Linked DNA regions of Neodiprion lecontei. The protein of the gene in region 2 purifies or fractionates together with the protein of the main gene of each other region. This does not show direct contact. Links are inferred from orthologs where the notes say so. Each region holds a gene or a part of one and is shown on either strand. Other genes may lie near its edges.

The links. Proteins that work in one complex are often made in the same cells at the same time.
Region 1: the proteins of AP-2 complex subunit mu (region 2) and AP-1 complex subunit gamma-1 purify together in Homo sapiens (affinity purification with mass spectrometry; 3 studies listed by BioGRID and IntAct, counting the BioPlex papers as one, with this or other methods). This does not show direct contact. The link is inferred for Neodiprion lecontei from reciprocal best matches to the Homo sapiens genes AP2M1 and AP1G1.

Annotation. Positions count from the first base shown.
Region 1 is NC_060264.1:28,341,744-28,352,364, forward strand, and holds the start of AP-1 complex subunit gamma-1, read right to left. Parts: upstream 6,059-10,621; 5' UTR 5,989-6,058; coding exon 5,930-5,988; intron 4,162-5,929; exon of another isoform or gene 3,333-4,161; coding exon of another isoform or gene 3,331-3,332; intron 2,510-3,330; exon of another isoform or gene 2,394-2,509; coding exon of another isoform or gene 2,374-2,393; intron 1,434-2,373; coding exon 1,372-1,433; intron 601-1,371; coding exon of another isoform or gene 592-600; coding exon 408-591; intron 328-407; coding exon 181-327; intron 1-180. Other genes in the region: ADP-ribosylation factor-related protein 1, read right to left, coding at 6,648-6,747, 6,838-7,009, 7,347-7,428, 7,850-8,020, 8,113-8,205; uncharacterized protein LOC107219157, read right to left, coding at 9,551-10,621. UniProt on the Homo sapiens protein: Subunit of clathrin-associated adaptor protein complex 1 that plays a role in protein sorting in the late-Golgi/trans-Golgi network (TGN) and/or endosomes.
Region 2 is NC_060261.1:8,411,643-8,423,128, forward strand, and holds AP-2 complex subunit mu, read left to right. Parts: upstream 1-4,713; 5' UTR 4,714-4,853; exon of another isoform or gene 4,854-4,857; intron 4,858-5,464; exon of another isoform or gene 5,465-5,579; intron 5,580-5,681; 5' UTR 5,682-5,719; coding exon 5,720-6,059; intron 6,060-6,167; coding exon 6,168-6,418; intron 6,419-6,550; coding exon 6,551-6,807; intron 6,808-6,924; coding exon 6,925-7,405; 3' UTR 7,406-8,098; downstream 8,099-11,486. Other genes in the region: CTD nuclear envelope phosphatase 1 homolog, read left to right, coding at 52-253, 342-559, 803-948; peroxisomal membrane protein PEX14, read right to left, coding at 2,616-2,787, 2,895-3,130, 3,367-3,693, 3,914-3,961; DCN1-like protein 3, read right to left, coding at 11,419-11,486.

The DNA of each region.
Region 1 (10,621 bases), on a different chromosome or scaffold from region 2:
AAGTTCTATGATGTTTATAGAATGAAATGCAGCTTCCTCAATAATGAGAGAAAGAAAAAGACGAATGTTATAAATAAAAACTCATTCAAGAGTTGAGAGAATGATATTTCATCCTCTCAACGCACAATCAAAATCTGGTAAAATATATTTTCTGCCGTAATGATCACTTCTTATACTTGCTTTTTCAGACAGTTGGTAATCAAAAGGTGAACATCTTGTCGCTCGTCGAGCAGCAGCATAGCCCCAAGATAGCCGATTCTTTTGTCTGTAAACCTCGGCGACGCTATCAGCTTCAAACATTCGAGCTGTCCAAAATGCGCCGGATATCTGTGAATTTGATTGAAGCAAATTTTCAGCTTCAGAAGTTATTCCGATTTTCTTATAACGAAGAATAAATTTTTACAGACCCCAACATGTGAATGTAAAGCAGTTTAGCAATGTTGCGACACCTCCAGACGCTGTCCTCCTCCCTGAACGTCGATCGAATGTATGCGCATTCTTTGTTGACGACTGTACGTTCTTCAGCGGCAGTTCTTGCCGCTCGTATTTGTCTGATCAAATCGCGGAGGCGTGTAGGAGCTGGCATTCTCACTGTCGAAACTTTTAAATTAACATTATGTTATCAGTGCACTGTGTTAGCTGGGCGGCGGTGCGTTAGTGTAAAAAGCTAAGCACTGCACTGGACGAACTAATCGCTGCATTACAGGGACGTGATTGGACACATAAAATCTGTGCGATATATTCAATTTTAAAATAGTGGCGACTATAGGACTGTGCGAATAAGTGTCATAAACTTCTGAAACGATCGTTGACTTTATTCAGAGCTTTGCCAAGTTCCAGAGCTACAAAAGCCTGAATGAATCAGGCGTGTGGCAGTAATTGAAGATTTAAAGGATGAATCATTTTTCGAAAAGAAAATACCTGCATATTTCATTGAAAATATCTGGTACAAGCCTTGACAAAGCTCTGCATTCGATTTACCAAAAGAAATCCTCTGGCACTTTAAAATTTGTAAAAGAGCTACAAACCGAAGCAAAGATTGAACGGACTGAAAAAGCTTGAAAGAAGTTCTCTGTAAGCTCAGAATAAGCAGGATATAAAAAATCAAATACCACACTCTGAATTCCAATTTCACAGTCACTATAAATATAAGCGCATAGTACAGAAGCTGATGACATCGAGGAAGAGAAAATAGATCATACATTACGCAGATGTAAAAGAAATTGATGGGAATTATAAATCTAGTTAGCGAGTGTGACGCCGAAGCTCATCTTTAGGTTCTTTTGCTTTTTTCTCTATTCTAATTGCAACCTGGGGACGTGTGTAAAAAGCTAGGGAAGGATGATCAATCGCACAATCCGGGATACCCACCTCGCTCAACAGCCTCGTTGATAGCCTGCTTTATGGAGGCCATATTGAAGGCTGGGTTAAACCTGAAAAAGTCACACCATGCTGGTTTAGAAAGCACACCATAAATGTCTTTTAGTTCAACTTAGTAATATCTATCTACATGCATTGACACCTTTAGTACCCAATCGTTTTTTGATCGCATTAGAACTTGACACAGTTTTTTTTTAATTTGAGGAATTGGAAAAGGAAGATAACAATCCGATGCAAAATGAAAACCTCCAAGTAGTGATAAGAAATAATCGATTGTTAGATAAATTATCTAAGTTTAAAATCAATGTCAACGAGTCGAGATTTTATCTATAACACAGTATTTCATCTGTTATAATAATATGATAACGTATTCAGGTTGTCCTATTTAATCCCCACTGCTCTCTATTTTTAGATTCTCTTATAGAAGAATGGTTCAATTGTTCTTGAAATTCAAAAAATATGTCGACTGTAACAAATTTTTGCAATTATAAACAAGATCAATAAAATAAAGTCACAGCTTCTTCCGAAAAATTTATTTCAGTAATTATCCGTAGAACTCTCTTTTTGCAATCGAGTGCAGAAAAGTGTCCGAATTGAATACAATAGGATTAAGAACAACAAAAAAAACACAAGAAGAAAATTAAAAGAATCATTTTCAAATCAACCAACAAATTTGAAAAGAAATCTACTCTTTCCAAAACTTTTGAAATAAATAAAATCAATTAAAGATAGAAAAATGTTGACTATTGTAAAAATAAATTGGCATATAATTTGCTCTACTTATTTTATACCATTGAAAAAACTTTTAGACAGTAAATATACGTTATTTCAATAAGAAAATAGTAGTAGTCTTATTACAGACTATGTTAAAAATTTTTCAACAGAGATTAAAGGAAGGACTGTACGCAAGGGCTGAATACAATAAAATTCGAATCAAACAAACATTTGTACGGAACGAAATACTGAAATGAACAAAAAAATAAATAAAATTACCCATGTTCTGAGGCATTCATGATTTCTCAACACCGTTTAGAAATTTTGTGTTTTTTTTTTTGTTTTCGGCTGGCAGCTATAGCAACAAACTGGATTACTGCAGCAGGCTGTTAACCACTCGACACACACACTCTTTACTCCTTTGTATCGCCGCTATGCTCCTGTTAGACATATCGTATTTGTTTTTTTTATGGTTACATCGGCGTTATTCCTTTTGATATCAAACTCAGGGACAGGGCATGGGGGTTACAATCCTAATTATACGTTAAACGCAAGCTTTGTATGTACCTATTCACATGTCTCTATAACAATAAACAGAGTCGACATACATTTGTGTGAGTTTATATGCGTACGTGTCTGTATTACATAACAGAAACATTCGCATCTTCCAAGATTAATTTCCCGACAAATATATCACACGATTTACACTGCCATTTCTGTCAACATAATATTATTTGTTTACAGTAAATACTTGTCAGTTTTAGATTTTTCATTCTACGCAAGAAATTGGCAATGTTTTGAAAGGCTTGAAAATTATGTTTAATGTAAGATGCTGATGAGTTACTCGAGTTTACTATGTTTTATGATTTGCAGGTGTAAAATGTCGGAAAATAAGAGTGGCTAAAAACAAACTCAAACTGTATGAAACTAATCTTGTATTGTAGGAAAAAAAAATGAAAAAATAAAAAAAAAAGATACCGCCGAGAAGAGTGAAAGATAATAGAAGAAAAGAATTGACTAACTTTGACGCTAATCGATGCTGAATAATGCGAGTGTGGTATGTAAAGAGTAGTGGGCGTTAGATGCGAAGGTTAGCTTTTGGTAAGCTGTCAAATGTGTGCGTAGAATTGGTAAATCACATCGAATAAACTACGGTGGAAAAAGAATCGGGCGAAACCGAAGGTTGCAGGTGTACAAGATCGTTGAAAAGCGAGGTTGAGCATGTAAAATACATACATACGGCAGTTATAAGCAGGCAGGTGAGAAGAGTTTTTGTCCAGATGCACACGGTGGTGTCAAACGACGGAAACGTGTCAATCGCCACCGTGTCACCTAACTTCACCTGACGAATGAGATTTTTAGGTGAGAAAAAAGACAGGAACAAACCGATGCACGGATCCGAATGAAAGACACACCACTCAAAGAGAAACACGGGAGGACGGAAAGGCACTGATCGGCAACTCCTCTCGATTCTCGAGCCGTGTATAACTTGGAATTGGAACTGCGAGTAGGTACAAACGCGAGTTTAGTGAACCACTCGTCGAACAATGCCGCACCTGCCCTGCCGAAACTCTGTTCCACTTTCCAGCTCACTAGTCAACTTTGATCACTGGATAATGTATTCAATCGAGGTTTTCTAACGTTGATACCTACCGCCTACCACAGAGTTCGAGACCAGAATCGTATTGTTGTGGGCGAAGGGTGGTGTGTTGTTTTAAATCATTAGAGGAGGAAAGAAAGGGACGATAAAGGAAAGAGAAAATTTGACGAAAAGAAAAAAATGGCAAACAATAGTGGAACAGGGGTATTTATCACGAATCGATTATCGGCGCATCAAGGCGATCATTATTAATCGCGCATATGTTAAATTACGCCGCCGACCCACCCCGAACGTACGACAAAACACTCGCTTGTCTGCAATTCACCAATCTACACTAAACCAACGAACTAATCTCCGCCGTCAGCCATACGTGCAGTGTTGCCAGATTAGCAGAATTCCTACTAAATTTATGAGGAATTGGAAGCTTCCGGAGAAAAAATATCTAGGAGTTTTTTCAGGACGAATTTCAAGAATTTTCAGATTTATGCTTCGCTCGTCGACTGTTACAATTTTTACTGACTTTATTTGTTATTTTTCTATGCGACAAGTACGGTGAGCGAAAGGCGACCACTTGCGTGGGGGATGAGATTCTATCGGTAAAGCAAATTCCAGAATTGCTGGTAGGGTCTAAGCTGAATTTCAGATATTATAGGAACAGCTTATTGTGAAAGGTGAATATTATTTCTACGTGTCAATTATATGCATGATATCGTGCAAACTTGATTCAAGGTCATTCTGTCCTTTAAAAATTTTAGGAGGAAATTTGGGAAGATTTTCTTTGTGGGTTAGGAGATTCTAGGAGAATTTCAAAGTTACCCTAGGAGGTTTCTGCAACAGTCATCTGGCAACACTGCATACACCAAAACTAAGATGGCGGGACGGCCTCAATTGACGTTGGCGGTCGGCGGTACATCGCTTATTTAACAAAATTGGGCACATGCTTTACAGGTTATACGTTCGCACCGTTATTAAAGCGACACGCTTCACTTGATACTGCATTTTTTTAATAAATATACCCTATCATTCGACCCTTGATACATCGCTGGAGGGTAATAAAGGTGTCATTGCACAACGTAGTTGACTTGCTCTGGTATTTCATACCTATATGCGGTTGTCGTTTGAAGGATATGAAAAAACTGAAAAGATCACTTAATGAATTCCTGTAGTTTTGTTAATAAATTTTGCTCCCCGGGTAATTGCATGTACTAATTGTGCACAATGGTATCTCTAACGAAACGATCGTAGAAACTATTAAAAACCGATCACGCTTCGAACCGACCATCAATATGTTCGTACAAGTAAAAACTAGACTGTAAGTTGGTACATTGCATCGCAATGCATGTTTTGCATATTTCATTTCGTCAATCAGCTTCATCAATACGCGATATTTTTCGTTATCTTGTACCGTATCACCAACGATTGGATGTATCGAGCATCTGTGATTCATGCAGACGCGTCACACCTTTGCATTCATACTTCTCTCCCATTTATCTCGACGCGTGTATTTTATCATTGCTTCTTTTTTTCTCCTCCCTGAATTTTTTTCCCTTCTCCCCATATCGGCTTACCTGATTGCGGGTTCGCGTCACGTTACAATACTATAACTCGTTTGAAATTTTCCCTACCCGAGTTATAACGAGATACATATTACACAAGCACATCTCCGTATGTGTGCATACAATGTAATTTATACGAACGACATATATTGTACATACATATATATATATGTACATAAAAAATGCGTATTTGCCGATCGTAATTATACTCGCAAATAACAGCTTCACACCACAGGCTTATCAACACTGTGAATTTGCGACCGGCAGCAACTTAAATCTGCAACGTGGACGCTTATCACCGCGCCGATAATATTTTACACAAGAATATATTAATTCGATCACTGCATTATGCATGATGCACCGTACATTTTTCACTAAATACTATCTGCAGCTGATGTAATCTTATACTGTATACCCACTTCGTTTTTTCGTTACCAACAATTGTGAAAAAAGAATGAAAAAAAGAACCAAAAAAGAAACGCGTCTTAAACCTTCGAAAATAAATTATGGACCATCACCTATCGAATCAACTATAAGAACGGACAGTTTTGAATTTACATTATTCTACTTCATTTACGGATATTTTAGGAATAGAAAATCGGTAATGGAGTGAATAGCGAAATAAGGAGCTTTTAGAGGTCGCATACAATGTTAAGCTGTTATATGTAGTTAAGATTACCTTCTGTTCAGCTCGGGCGGGAGAACACTCCAATCTTCGGTCTCATAATAGGGCCACATGATGCGTAATCTCACCAAACAGTAGGATTTTGCAATTTAAACGAAGCACCGTTAATTCATTGGCGGTATATCATGTGCTATGGTGGCTAGCAGCTAGTATGGCGAACGATATTTATCACTAGCATTATAGAGCGCCAGAAGGTGTGAGGTGTTGCCTTTATCTCTTATCTCACTCTGTGACTCCGCTATCAGCTGACACTGAGCAAGAGCTACCATTCTAATCAACCATCAGATTCAATTTTACTATCTATTTTCTGACGCTTTTTCATTGCATTAAAAACACATTTACCGGTTGGCCGCGAAGAATAATTAATCGTGATTAATTTGAGGATATTTACGGATACAGATTTTACACAATATCAGTGACTTCGATATTGTTCTGCTAATATTATCGTTATTATTTCACCTGTCTTACAAATATTGATCAATCGATATTTCTCCTCGAAGATTATCGATACAGTGGAATGTATTTCCTTTTATTACCGTAATAGTTCAGAAATACGATTAATATTGAAATAAAAATAATTTATTTATATAAATAATAATAAAAATATTAATAATAATATTAACAACGAATTGTCGCATTGGAAAATGTACAAAATATCTATTCTTAAAATTTAACTTATGTTTTACCGTTATTGAAGACAGGAATGTATTTGCTACGACAGACAATTATCGTCCTGATTACGAGGCGGACGGATGTCGTTATTTCTTTTGATGCAATCGACCAGCCAGTGAATTCCTTCGTCTACACCGTCGCTATAAATAACAACAATTATTAGGCCGTTTTGAGCGATCAAATTCAATGAGTTTATCCCTGAGTAACCCCTGCGAAATTATTCTTTTTACCCATTTAGCGCGGAAACCGGCATCACCATGCAATCTCTCCTTCCAATGAGATGGGCATTCTGATTGAAAATCGGCTTCACATCTCTGACTCCCATACAGTCTGGTATATCTTGTTTATTAGCGAGAACCAGCAGAGGTACTCCCATCAAATGCTCCGAAGATATCATCCTGTCTACATAAATCTGTTATAAGCACACTTATTCATCTTTGAAATTTGTCAGGCTGTTCCATGCGAACATACTTTGAATAAGCATATTTTTTGTTCTAAAGAAATCGATAATTTCGACCATGGTAAAACTAGAAGCGTTTTAGACAAATTTACTACTTTCTGAGGATCTTGAGGCACCCTTCAAGTAATACATGTGTTTTAGGTAGCTCAAGATACTTTTAAACTCGCACTGCAAAACTTTATTTTAAGACTATTGTTGGATTTCGAAAAGTAAAATGCACATTGACAGGTTGATGTAACAATAGAACATCCTGCACTTAGGCCAATGGTACTGTCTTACCAAAAGTCTCTTTGGAATCTGGTATTCTGTCTCTGTCCGAAGAATCAACAATGTAAATGACTGCGTGCGACTCTGCGTAATACTGCAAAATATGTTATGTTTTACAAAATGTAATAGCGTTTTCATTGCAAATGATTTAACTTTATTTATAATGAGATGAATGATTGTGATCAGGCTTCAGGCTCGCCTTAGTAACCTTTAAAGGGCCAGCCTGGCTCTTTTAGGGGTCAGCAGATAATTCGGAAACTCCACCATGCGCGTTGACTATTTACATACATAAATCATACCTCTAAAAAAATATCCAATTTCAAGGGAAAAATGCCAGCCCTCTAAGGTTAAACAGAATATTGCCATTGTTGTATAATGAACGTCAGATTGTCAAGCGAATCTTGGTTTATAAAATTTGAAATAAGAATTATGACTTGGGATTTTTTTACAAAAAATGTGAGATATTCTAGGTCGACTGAAGTGAGTGAAAGATGAAATCAGGTTCGACATAAAACCTTATCCCAGAGAGACTGAAGTTCCTCCTGTCCTCCGAGATCCCAGAAGTTTAACCGCACGCCCGCGTGATCAATTTTTCCAATATTAAGGCCGACTGTTGTAGTAATTTTGCTGGGATTCATGCCTTTGTAGTTTTTCGTGAACTTCGTTTTAGCTGCCTCTAAGTAAGTCTGTGAAATAGTTAAACTAGCGTTTAGAAAACTCACAATGTCTCTTCGTACAGAACATAACCTAAGACAACAATGTGTAATGATACTCTTACCGTCTTCCCTGCATTGTCTAAGCCCAGTATCAGTACGTAATATTCGTCTTTTTGCATGAGGTACTTATAAAGACCGTTTAATAATGTATACATTTCAATATTGTTCACTCTTTGACAAGTTTACTTCCGTGTCATAGTAAATTCAATATGAGCCAAGTGGTTGGGTATTTGTCAATGACGACGATTTGTAAGTCGGTATTGCACGAACTCGACATTATCGGTAACAACTTGATGTATCTGGAAATACGTGTAACATCCCGTCGGTATTGTGGAATACCGAACGACCGATGATATATTCGGGACGCAAATTTTACTTACCAGATTGCGGAGTTATAGGACATAAGAAACATGATACACGGTAACTATCGTACACTGAAATAGAATGTCCTATGAATGTTATATCTGTGCTAAAACTATGGCAGTCGAAGATAATTACTAACGAAACGAAAAAAATTACCGCCGTTCCAGGCGACGCCGCGACGATAAGGTTAATCATTTTCAAATTTTCCGTCGGAATACACTGTTCGTTAGTGACATAATTCAATAATGTATTCTAAATTCGTCTTCAACCACTGTTCACTATTTTCAAATAGTTTTTTTGTTTATTTTATTGTCGTTAATTCTGTCAATCTTGCGATGCGTTTAACGCGCCTTGGAAAGGCAACCCAACATACGTCGCAGCAAGTGAGAGCCTGAATGCTCTAACCGGGCGCTCGCTTTACACAAATCAACACTTACAATATAGTTGCGCACCTTATCGCATTTATACAGCCGCCAATAGGATTAGCACTGGCATTGTATTTGCAGTTGGTCCTGATTCACTTTTCGATGTACCTATCGAATAGATCAAATTCCACGAACGCGTCTTGTCACGTCATGTCATCGTAACTACTCCATACATCCGCAGATCCGCAATCAGGAAAGTAACAAAAGACAAGGGCTCTGTCCAATAAATCGCTATGTCGAATCAGTCAGTGTCCAATTAATCTAGCGCTCCATATAGCTTCCGATTATTTTTGCTGTCCAATAACGCTGATGTCCTATAGGATGGTGTCCAAGAAATCACGTAACAGTTGACTATATGATTTTGCTTGCTCTGTATAGATGACTATATGATATTTGATCCAGTATATCTGATAATTCGTGCTTTTGTTTTTCATTACGTGATTTCTCATACATTTTATCGAATTTAGAAGATGAATCATGTAATAAATTACATGCTGAATTCTTTCAAAACACTTTATGATTTAACAAATGAACATTTACAGTAGGGTGGTAATACTGTTGATATTAAAATGATATAAAAGGTTATTTTATAGAGAAGAAATCAAGTATTATTTATTCAAACATATATTAGGTAATTTGAATGAAATTTGGTGGTAAAGTGGCAAATATACATAAGACAAGTATAAGTCAATTAGACATAAACGACTCAATTTTAATTTTGTTGAACGATCTTTTCTTCGGATTCTGACTCCGCTGCTCTCCGGAACCGGAATGATCCTTGTATTCCAACAGTTGGTTCCCACCTTTGGCCCGGGTACTTCTGAGCTCCGCCTGTCGCGCTGATCGAACCATGTTTATTCTCAAAAAGCTTGTGCTGGTAATCGACGTTGTAAGAAGGTCGGCGTTCTGGACCACTGAGATTCTTCTGCCAAGTGGCACGTACGGATCCTTGGGGTTCCGGCTGTGGTTCCGGCGATCTACGGAATCGGAAAGACCCTTGTACTCCAACAGTTGGTTCCCACCTTTGGCCCGGGTACTTCTGAGCTCCGCCTGTCGCGCTGATCGAACCATGTTTATTCTCAAAAAGCTTGTGCTGGTAGTCGACGTTGTAAGAAGGTCGGCGTTCTGGACCACTGAGATTCTTTTGCGCTGTAACGCTCACAGATCCTTGAGGTTCCGGCTGTGGTTCCGGCGATCTACGGAATCGGAAAGACCCTTGCACTCCAACAGTAGGTTGCACTCTCTGTCCTGGATTCTTCTGAGCTCCTGCTGTGGCGCTGATCGAACCATGCTTATTCTCAAAAAGCTTGTGCTGGTAATCGACGTTGTAAGAAGGTCGGCGTTCTGGACCACTGAGATTCTTTTGCGCTGTAACGCTCACAGATCCTTGAGGTTCCGGCTGTGGTTCCGGCGATCTACGGAATCGGAAGGATCCTTGTAGTCCGACAGTCGGTTCCCACCTTTGACCTGGGTACTTCTGAGCTCCGCCTGTCGCGCTGATCGAACCATGTTTATTCTCAAAAAGCTTGTGCTGGTAGTCGACGTTGTAAGAAGGTCGGCGTTCTGGACCACTGAGATTCTTTTGCGCTGTAACGCTCACAGATCCTTGAGGTTCCGGCTGTGGTTCCGGCGATCTACGGAATCGGAAAGACCCTTGCACTCCAACAGTAGGTTGCACTCTCTGTCCTGGATTCTTCTGAGCTCCTGCTGTGGCGCTGATCGAACCATGCTTATTCTCAAAAAGCTTGTGCTGGTAGTCGACGTTGTAAGAAGGTCGGCGTTC
Region 2 (11,486 bases):
ACGGTTGTTTCTATTTTACCAAAACAAATTATGTTCTTTCACCGTCTACAGGTATAGTTAAGAGAAAAGTCCTAGTTTTGGACTTAGACGAGACACTAATTCACTCGCACCATGACGGTGTTGCAAGACCGACTGTCAGGCCAGGCACACCGCCAGATTTTGTCCTCAAAGTCACCATAGATCGTCATCCAGTCAGATTTTTTGTTCATAAAAGGCCACACGTAGATTTTTTCTTGGACATTGTTAGTCAGTGGTAAGTTGCTTAAATTTTATTCAATATTTCGAAATTGTTGTTGGCACCGACAAATTGAAGTAATGTATATATGTTCAATATGATCCAGGTACGAGCTGGTAGTATTCACAGCTTCAATGGAAATTTATGGAGCAGCAGTTGCTGACAAACTAGACAACAACAGAGGGATTCTAAGACGGAGATATTATAGACAGCACTGCACTCCAGAAATGGGATCTTATACTAAAGATTTGGCTGCTATTTGCTCAGACTTAGCATCTGTTTTCATTTTAGACAATAGTCCTGGCGCCTACCGAGCTTATCCACGTAAGCTATAAATTTTTAGAATATTATTTATAGTGGTGTTTATTATACCTACTGAATTGCGAAAATGTTATAATCCGTTATCACTTTGGACGACATGCATTACTCCAGAACAATATTCTTTATAGAAATAAGTCTTTCTATTTTCAATTGGCTTTTTTTTTTGTAGCAGAGTCACTCTTGCATGGTTTATGCAATCCGCAGATTGTATACTTGATTAATCAATTTTTGACGTTTAAATTACAGATAATGCAATACCGATAAAGTCTTGGTTTAGTGATGCCGGCGACACAGCGCTACTCAGTTTACTTCCAGTGTTGGATGCCTTACGGTTTACACAGGACGTCCGCTCTGTACTCTCTAGAAACTTACATTTACATCATACATGGTAGCATAGCCCCTGCCAGTAAAACCCATAGAATAGATTAGAGTTCAAACCGCTAACAGTCTAGTGTGTCTAGGGTAGAATTATTATTAATAATTAATAATAGGAACGTTTAAGCGCTACCCATGAAATAAGATGACAAAGTTTTGCCTTAGACTCTCTCCACTTTCTGTGCTTATCAGTAGCGCCGATAGAAAGTGCACACAGCAAGCTACTGTTAGCCATCACCTACGTCAGCACAATAACTTATGTAGGGTATCATTTTTTTTCTGCTTTTATGTCATATTCGCCTTTCACCTTTGACACGTGAAAAATGAAAACAAAATATCAGGGTCTGTAAATGCACGATAAACCGTAATTTCTATTAGCTTTTTATTTTATTATCGTCATCATTACTAATCCTCTTTTCAATTCCACTCAGCAAACTGATATTTTTAGTAAATATTTTACGCCATTCGACGTATGTAGCAGGCAATGATGATCCGAATAATTATTCAAGTAACCATACTGCAATAACGAATTCTATTAGCTGCCCTAGAATAACTAGGAAATGTGTACTAGAAGATATCTAGCTGTACGCTCACTGTATCAGTGAGGCAGCGGTATGCCGATTATACCTGAAGTGATTATGAAGAATCAGACAAACAGTAATAATAAACATTATGAAGCAACAGAAATATCTTTCTTTGTTATAATTTTTTATTCAACTCATTAGGGTCGCCGTTGATTAATTATCGAATCGTAATTCGCTCGAACGATCCATGTACACGTAATTTAAAATTAACAGGACAAACATTGTATGTGGCATGGAAAAGAATTGATGAGAACATAGCTCTATATTTTGCCCGCTTATCTTCTAATAACCCTAAACATCATTATTATTGCATGGTTTGTACATATTAGAGCGCAAAGTGTGTATGTTAGTAAGGATGGCCGTGCATCTGTCGATTTGCGAATGTCGCGTGCGGTTGTGGTATACGTGAGATAATATTATAGTGATATACATGAGCTATAAATATACATATATATATACACGTGTATATATATATATCTACGTGGATAATATATATAGATTTATGATTATTAATTATATATTATTATTAATAATAAATTCTTGATCATAGTGACAAAATAACTGGGTATTTAAATAAGTCATATACAAACGTGTGCCGAATCGTATGTCGGCTGTTTTTCTTGAATAAACAACAATGATTCGATCTGTTTTTATTCGTATATTTGGCAATTTATCGTATGACTGAATTGTATGAGTAATATACTAACAATAAACCTGCGTAACAATGAAACACTTTTCTTATATGTACAAAACAATGATCGTACCAACATCCATAATAATGCGTGTAAAAAAGTCTACCATAATTGTAAAAGAATTGATGTAATGAAACATTGTATTTGAGACTCAGCAGTTGCCTCCTGATTAACAATTTTCATTCAATTGTTGGGGAAATTGAGAAATTATCTAAACTTGTTCCTTATAGAAAAAAAGATATTGATCTGAGTTTCAACAGCTTATTGTAGTGATCCGTACTCGTTAGCATAACTTATATTGGCTGTCCTTGTATCGATCGAAATTTATACACATTAGGATAACCACATGATTGGCATGTACAGCAAATCTACAAATGAAATAAAATCACAAGTTCGGTTAAGGCTGAATCAATTTTTTGGAGGATCTTCTCTTATCATCTCCAAAGAACTATCGGAGTTGTTGGTGCTGCTACCACTCCCTGCATCATCTAGATCTTCTCTATCGCCTGTTTTCTCTCTTACTGTCGACGTTGCTAGCTGCCAAGTTGGAATGGATGCCGGTACACTCGGAAATTGTTTCCTATTGGTAAAGAAAATGTAATTCCGATATTATTCACAACTTACGAACAAAACAAATTCAGACAAAACTAAATCACTATTTACTCTGCAAAATAGACATTGCTGTACCTTGATAGCAGTAGACCCTTGAGACTGGCTAAGTCCTGTTTCAAGTCTTGAACGAGCTGTGGTATGCTAGGATCGATGGAGTGGTTTTCCGTCAGTTTACTGACGTCTATCTCTACCTTGGAAATGGAGTCTTTCATTTCTCTCAATGAGGTTTTAATAGTTTTGTCTAAGTCCGTTACGGATTCTTCCACAGTTTTGCGACTCTTGCGTCCAAATAAATAAGGCTCTATGAATTTCTAAAATACAATTGAAAGTCAATTAGGATAATTCTTTTAAATAGTATAATGGATCTTGTAACTCGAAGAAATGACAAGGTTAAATTGTTGCAGGTTCATTTAATTGAAACAGAATTACTACCATTTCCATTTGAGCCTTTTAGGTAGAACCTTGGCAATTTTTATATCTTCAATAGAATCTCGAAACTAACATAGTACATATAATATTCTATGCAGCATAAGGAGCGGAATCTCACCTTGTAGAACCAATATATACAATAAGTTGCAGTTCCAAACAGAGCAACGGTATTTAGAATTTCTTTGACTCTTTGAAATGTTGTTTGACGATACGATTGTAGTTGGTAATTTGGGTAGCTGTGACCATGATTCATAGGAACAACTGTGAACTCTTTTTGATTAGGAGTAAACGAAACTTCTGTGACAATTTGGTCCCCCCCCGCGATTTCACATGCTTTAATAATTTCGTTTTCCGAGAGACCTTTTCTTCGGAGAAATTCCTGTTTCTGTTTTAAAGGACTCGGAACTACCTTGGGATTTTGTAAAAATTTTACAGCAGTCCTGACCTAGATTGAGATGAAAGAGAGAAGCAGCTAGTAATTTAGTTGTTAAAAATTTGAAGAACAGCTATAAAGCGAAGTGTTGGTGAATTTATAAAGGTAATCGAGTGGTGCTTGTGTGTTTTCATTAATTGAATAAATGTGTCGTCATCATGCTTAATTAAATTGTTTCGAATGTGAAATAAAATCCCGGATATTCTAACCTAAAGTAGCGAAAAGTACTTACGAGCTCATCCCGCAAAGATACGCTATTATTACTTTCCTCAATGGCCATCGCGTCGATTATAACTCACTTTTGCTAGCCGATAAACGTAGCTTCATACTCATGTAACAGATTCTAATAAGTATGTATTACGGTAATTAGATGTGATTTTTCGTTCACTGCAAAATGAACACAACAGAAAAAGTGCAGTCTATTCCACGCAAGCGCACGATTTATACTATTATCCACTGATACATAATAGTATGGGTATACGGATACATCAAAAATTCTTTGGTCAGTATGAGATTAACACGGTCAAGGTTAAAAACAATCCCGAAAATACAAGAAACTATAAACAAATCGCTGACTCTTTCAAATAATGAAATTATGATCGGTAAAGGCAATCGGAAATACTCGGCAAGAGATAGTCTCTCTTCTATGCTTCTAGATCTCCCGATATTACGCGCACCTTATCAGTTGTGAAATATTTTCATTTCCTTTGTTTACCAATGTTTTCCAAGCTAAAAACAAATAAATGAGCAATGTCGTAGATAAAGACGTGTTGAGATATCTTGTTTTCTTTCAGCCCAATACACTTATAATAGTAATTCCCATATAGGTATATCGTATTCAACGTTGACTTCAATCAAATCTCAAGTAACAAGATCAAATTAACTACTGTATTATTGTTGACAAATAATTAAGAAAGAGAAATACGATTGGTTTGTTCCGTGCTATTTAATCGATTGAATTTACGTCAGGTTGACAACATGGTACACTCATCGATTCGATTCAACCTGTTGGATCATTGAGCCGGTATGCCTACACGGTATCATCCAGTGACGATCACTGACAACCGTAGTAGGAAAAAGTGGGTGTCGCTGCCGCATTCGCAGTTCTGTGTGCCCGCTGAACAGCTGCACTTCAGCGTAATTTCTACGATTTTCTTGAGTCGTCTGAATGCGTAAGTAAGAAAGTGTCCATTATAATTCATTGCTTTGTTATATGGTTGATTCTCAATTGTTTCCTCGGCTAACACAACTCTACATCTCATCGAAAAATTAATCTGTTCTGAATTAAGCATCGTCCACTTGTCAATCGATAATACTAACGGTCCGAAGAACGTTCGCCCGTAGAGATGGATCTTGGATGTGTTGCATGACGTTTTGAACCATCATTAGATTGTCGGACGCTCGGTGGGCGTTTATCGGGTCATCAAGCGTCATTTTTAACCAGTTTCTACGTTAAATAAAGTCTTGGTCGTTTCATGACTGATTAAAAATATTATTTATCACAGATCCGAACGAGCTGTACGCGAATTTTCGGTTCTCACTTCCAACAATTCATTGATCGGTTTCCGTTTTCACTTCTCTACAACTATCCGAGCTCTTTGAACAAGTGCTCAACACCGAACTGCTACAAGCAACAGCATTAAATGTTGACCACGGTGTCAACGAATATTCTGTGACAAATACATAGGATAATTTATCGAAATCACAAGTAGGCTGCTTGCCTTTAGACAATTGACTACCCTGAGTGTGAGAAAAATGGTAATCGACCAGTTTCGGCACTGTGAAAATACCAAGTGCATGTCTCTATTAGAATGCATCTCAATTACTACTTAATGACTTTGGAAGGTCAAGAACTAGAGGGCCAAAATTGTGATTGTATTTATTCAAACGAATGCAAAGTAGGCTATCTAATTAGTATATTAAGTGTTGAATCATCATAAATTGTTGAATTATAAATTTTTACGTAACTCTGCCCTGATTAGTTATATATGAATTTACAGGTGCGTAACCAAAAAAGTAATTCACAGCCTCCGTCAAGATGATCGGGGGACTGTTTGTCTACAACCATAAGGGAGAGGTGTTGATCTCTCGAGTATATCGTGACGATATTGGCAGAAATGCAGTCGATGCATTCAGGGTCAATGTTATTCACGCTCGGCAGCAAGTACGATCGCCAGTTACCAATATTGCCAGGACGTCGTTCTTCCATATTAAACGAGCCAATATCTGGCTGGCTGCTGTTACCAAGCAAAATGTCAACGCTGCTATGGTCTTTGAGTTTTTATTGAAAATCATCGAAGTCATGCAGTCGTATTTTGGCAAAATATCTGAGGAAAACATTAAGAACAACTTTGTCCTGATTTACGAACTGCTTGATGGTAAAAAAAATTGCCTATTCCATCGTATGAGTTTCATCTTAAAATCATGCACAAAATGGTATTTGGTCATAATCATTGATTATGACTATTTTTCTATCGATTCTTTAGAAATTCTGGATTTTGGTTACCCACAAAACTGTGACACTGGGGTACTGAAAACCTTCATCACTCAGCAAGGCGTCAAGTCCGCCACAAAAGAAGAACAGGCTCAGATTACTTCCCAAGTTACAGGTCAAATCGGATGGCGACGAGAAGGAATAAAATATAGGCGCAATGAACTTTTCCTTGATGTTCTTGAATACGTCAATTTATTGATGAGCCCCCAGGGCCAGGTTCTCAGCGCTCATGTGGCTGGCAAGGTTAGCAAACATTCTTACCATCTTTTTTCAGATGCCTAAGGATTTAAAAACCGTTTTGATGTTTGACATTATTAGCATTGATGGAACTATTCAAATATGTTATTAATTTTAAAAGTTTTCTCTCCCAAACAGGTAGTGATGAAGTCCTACTTGTCAGGAATGCCAGAGTGTAAGTTCGGGATTAATGATAAAATAGTGATGGATGCAAAAGGAGTGAAAGGAGGAGGTGGTAGTTTAGGTAGCACGGGTGATGACCCTGGAGCTAGATCTGGCAAGCCTGTGGTGGTTATCGATGATTGCCAGTTCCATCAATGTGTCAAACTTTCCAAGTTTGAGACAGAACATTCCATCAGTTTCATCCCACCGGATGGTGAATTCGAATTAATGAGGTAATTGATGGGTTCCAGTAACGGTTCTTTTGGTAGCATCCAAACAATGAGTAAATACATAAACATCGAGTGATTTGAAAACTTGAAAAATAATTATGTAAAATATTGTTGTACCAGATATCGGACCACAAAAGATATATCACTGCCATTCCGCGTTATACCATTGGTACGTGAAGTCGGCCGCACGAAGATGGAAGTAAAGGCTGTCCTCAAGTCAAGTTTCAAATCCTCTTTACTTGGCCAAAAGATCGAGGTCCGTGTTCCGACGCCATTGAATACAGCTGGCGTACAACTGATATGTTTAAAGGGAAAGGCAAAATATAAGGCATCGGAAAATGCAATTGTATGGAAGATAAAGCGAATGGCTGGCATGAAAGAGACGCAGTTGTCTGCTGAAATTGATCTGTTAGAAACTGATACGAAGAAGAAGTGGACACGACCACCAATTTCCATGAACTTTGAGGTTCCATTTGCCCCTTCTGGATTCAAAGTTCGTTACTTGAAAGTATTTGAATCTAAACTGAATTATTCTGATCATGATGTTATTAAATGGGTCAGATACATTGGACGAAGTGGCCTATATGAAACACGATGCTAATCACCAACTTGTCGATGATAAAATACAAAAAAGTAATCTCACCTTTGAAGTGTAATGAACATAAATGTAATAAGGCTATAGCTGCGTTTTACACTTGGGACTTGCGGTATATAAACAAACTAAAAAGTTGCTGGTATTTATTCTCGTAAGTTCAAAGTTCAAACGTCCCTTGTAAGTATGGAAAGATCCAAAAAATTAATGATTTTAATCCGATTACATTATAAGGCGTAATTAATTATAGCAATGTCGCAGTCTTTCGGGGTATTCTCTAAGAATTCGCACAAAAGAAAAGGACAAAACATTCCGCCTAAACAGCCCTTAAAAATGTCAATGCCACCGTTCTGATCAAAATACAATACTTTTCCTATAACTGCTTATTTCAATCAGGGAGCATTTTTATGCGAGGCATAATTTACCGTCAACGATTAAAATAATGCTCCAATATATCGTGAAAATGTATTTAAAATGTGAACGATTTCTCTAGAGATGTGCCCGGCTGGTCCATGGTCACTTGAAGGCGTATGTCAAATGTAGCTTCTGTCTCTCTATATTATATCGATATATTATAGGTATATACATGTATGTATATATGTATCACAAACCGCATGATTAAACGTTAGTGCAGTGTTTAAGTTGATTTTCAGTTATACCCGAAATTATAAGAAAAATAAAGCATAACATTCAATACTTGAACATTACTGGTTTTATTAAAAAATTGAGTACACGAAGCGTTGATAGATTGTAAAAAGTAGTTTGACCGTATATTGAAAGACGATCTCTGTCACTGGTGACTAATCGATAGTTGACATAAATTGGACGAAATTCTTCTAGTCTTTTTACACAGTTGCAACTATCTCATTTTATCACCAAACCTCACGTGTTCAACATTTCTTGTTTTCACAATATTTTCGTGTTTTTATAGTACATATACATTTCCAAATAAGATAATTTAGCAAGCATTCCATTCCTAATAAATACAGCTAATAAAATTCCCTCAGAAATTCGGTCTATGATTTTCTAATTTTTGAGCTGCAACAAAATCTACTCAATACAGAACTCTTTAAAGTGCACGAAAGAAAATAAGTATGTGCTTCAGAATGGAAATTAAACCCTTTTACAGTGATCTATTGAATAATTATACTGTGCGTACTATTTCTTTTATCACGAACACCTCTATCAAATGTGAGTTAGAAATAATAATATCATTTAATGTAAATGATATATGACTTCTTCAGTTTTACGTTTGACAATCAAACTTAGTCAATCAAAATATGAATAAAAGAATTCAATTCAGCTATTGATAATAACACATAATAAAGTACACTTGCATACTTATTTAATGATTCACAGTGATAGAGATTGGCTTTTGAATTGAAAAAAAATGACTTGTGTGCAACTCATTTGAAAGGTTTGTACCTTTGAGATCCTATACGAATTTAAATGGCAAATAAGCCATCTACTTTTCAGGCTGATATTCTCGTAAAACACTTCAACTACCAAGTAACTAAAATCCAGTGATTATTTTTGGATAATGCATATTACATTACGTAAACTATTATCACTTGCAAAATTTCGAGTGATTTTCACGATAAGAAATGTCACACTAGAAGTCGATTGAATCCGTTATGTTACAGTTATTGAAACTGACTAAATGCGTAGCTAGATTTTATGTGAATACAATGATTTAAAGTACAAGTTAACGTACCTGCTAACGTTTCAACGAACATGTCGTTATCATAGCAGTGAAACATTTTATTGGAATGCAGGCTTAAAATGATTTCGGTTAGAACGCTTGAAATGAAATCTATATGAATCGTTATAGTTAGTGACTAATCTGTCTGAATGAGAGATTATGATGAATTAGTAACTGATAGTAGCAGTTTATATACAAAAGTTTATAAATAGATATACATATACATTAATTGTAAGCACACGTCTCGTTACTTATTATAATTTTTCTACATTAATTAATTTTATTTCAATCTTTTATCTGGTTGGCACTTTCCGTAAACTGAGTACATTAGATTACTGCTGTGATTTTTTGACCAGTTCAGTTATCCAATTCTGAATAAACAGAGCCACGCTAAAAATAAACCAAATATTCACTATGCCGAGATATATATTCATTGCAATTTTCAGTATATGCTCATTTAGAAGGCCACAAATGTTAGTACAGCAAATTGATTTTTCGATTAGAATTTTTGTAATTTTGAAAAGTTGATTTCAAAGTGTTTTATAAAAATACAGTCCTTCCGGGGCAAAGGAAACATTTTCGAAAAATAACTATCATTTGTCGAAACTATTCCTTTCCATAAAAACCATGATATAGTATTGTATATGTTCATGACATTTTGTTGATGGTTATGAATATCTTTTTCGCCAAAGTAATTCTTTGTTGTCAAGAGGAATTATATAGAAATTATGTTAAGTGAACTGTCACTGATTTCTGGTAAATGACGATGATGAACTTTTTAACACTGTATACAATAATTGGAATATTGATCGTTCTAATTGAGGTTCTGGTAAATAATATAACCTACAGTCCAAAGAACTGTAATTCACGAGTACTTCACACAAGGTGATGAAAATGAAGTATATCGACATAACTGGTAATTGGATTTGTGCAAAGGTTTTACGATATCTGTTCCAAAGCCTAATGCAATTTTGTTTTTAGTAGATTGTCAAAATGCATTTGAATGTTACATACTCATCAAGTTGTAACAAAGAAAACCGCTGAAATTAATCCTACACCATAACTGACCGGATTATTCAGGCAACTGATTTATATTTTACCAAGCTATTATACAGGATGACTCAGTACTATCGCCCCACAGACTACCAATGTATTCTTTGGGAAAATCTGTGATTTTTCGTTTTTCATTTCTTATAGGAAATTTGTTGTTTGCAAATTACAGCCGTGTGAAATTGGCTATTCCAGTAGCATCTGATGGCTTAGAACTGAAAGAGAACGCGACTAGCAGATCATCTGCTGTTCTGAGTCCTCAGATGCTACCAGATTGGCCAATTTCAAACGGCTATAAAATCGGAAACGGCAAATTTTCGATCAAAAGTAAAAAACGTTTCAGTCGCGGATGTTCAGGAGGACCATATTGGTAGCCTATAAGGCGATCGTCCTGGGTTACCCTGTGTATGACTTACAAGCCAATTTAAGGAGGAAATCAACAACCATGCCACTGCGAATTTCTATTTACAATTTATATAGATAAAATAGTTAAAATGGTATTCTGAGAAAATAAGCACGCAGGAATGGCTAAGGAAAAAGTTTCAACTGGGTTAAAAAAAATTTGACGAAGTTTAAGAATAAACTGAATGAAATACTTTGTCTTCATTACTTAGCCACTAAAAAAATTGTCACCTCTGCATTATTCGCATATAATTAACTATATATATGATCGTTATTTCTATAGAATTAAATACATACATCAATGAATATGTACTCGATTGGCTAGTCTTGCGAGTCCTTGTATATAAAATACGTTGCGTTACTAGTTCGTTTGTTTCGTTACCTAAATTTTACTTAAATATCTAAAAGACAAATATTATCAGTAATGTATGTATCACAAGTTGGGACCGTAATACTAATTTCGATATAACATATTATGTGCTAAGTCCCGCGTGTTAAAACGATCGTTTCAAATGACTGTTGAACAGTTCTGAACAGGATTTTCCCTGAAATCTTTCTGAACATATCATTAAACTACGGAAAATATTTCTTCCCATCGCTAATCTATACCTGAAAATTCCGCACAGGCTCAAATAAACTTGATTCTGATAAAAACATTTTGGTCAATAATTTAGTATTAACTTTACAGAAGTCCAATTCGATACTAGTTTTCTTTTCTCTCCTTTTTGATGGCAGCTTACTTAAGTCGTGGGAATATCCTGCTTGAAAGTTTTATATATATATATATATATATATATATATATATATATATATATATATATAAAATTGCATCTTCTCAATTTCTTATTATTTCGCAATATCACTACATCTACTCCTTATCAACATTATCTTTCATTATAATATCATCCTTGGTAATGTTCTGGTTCATCTGATCAT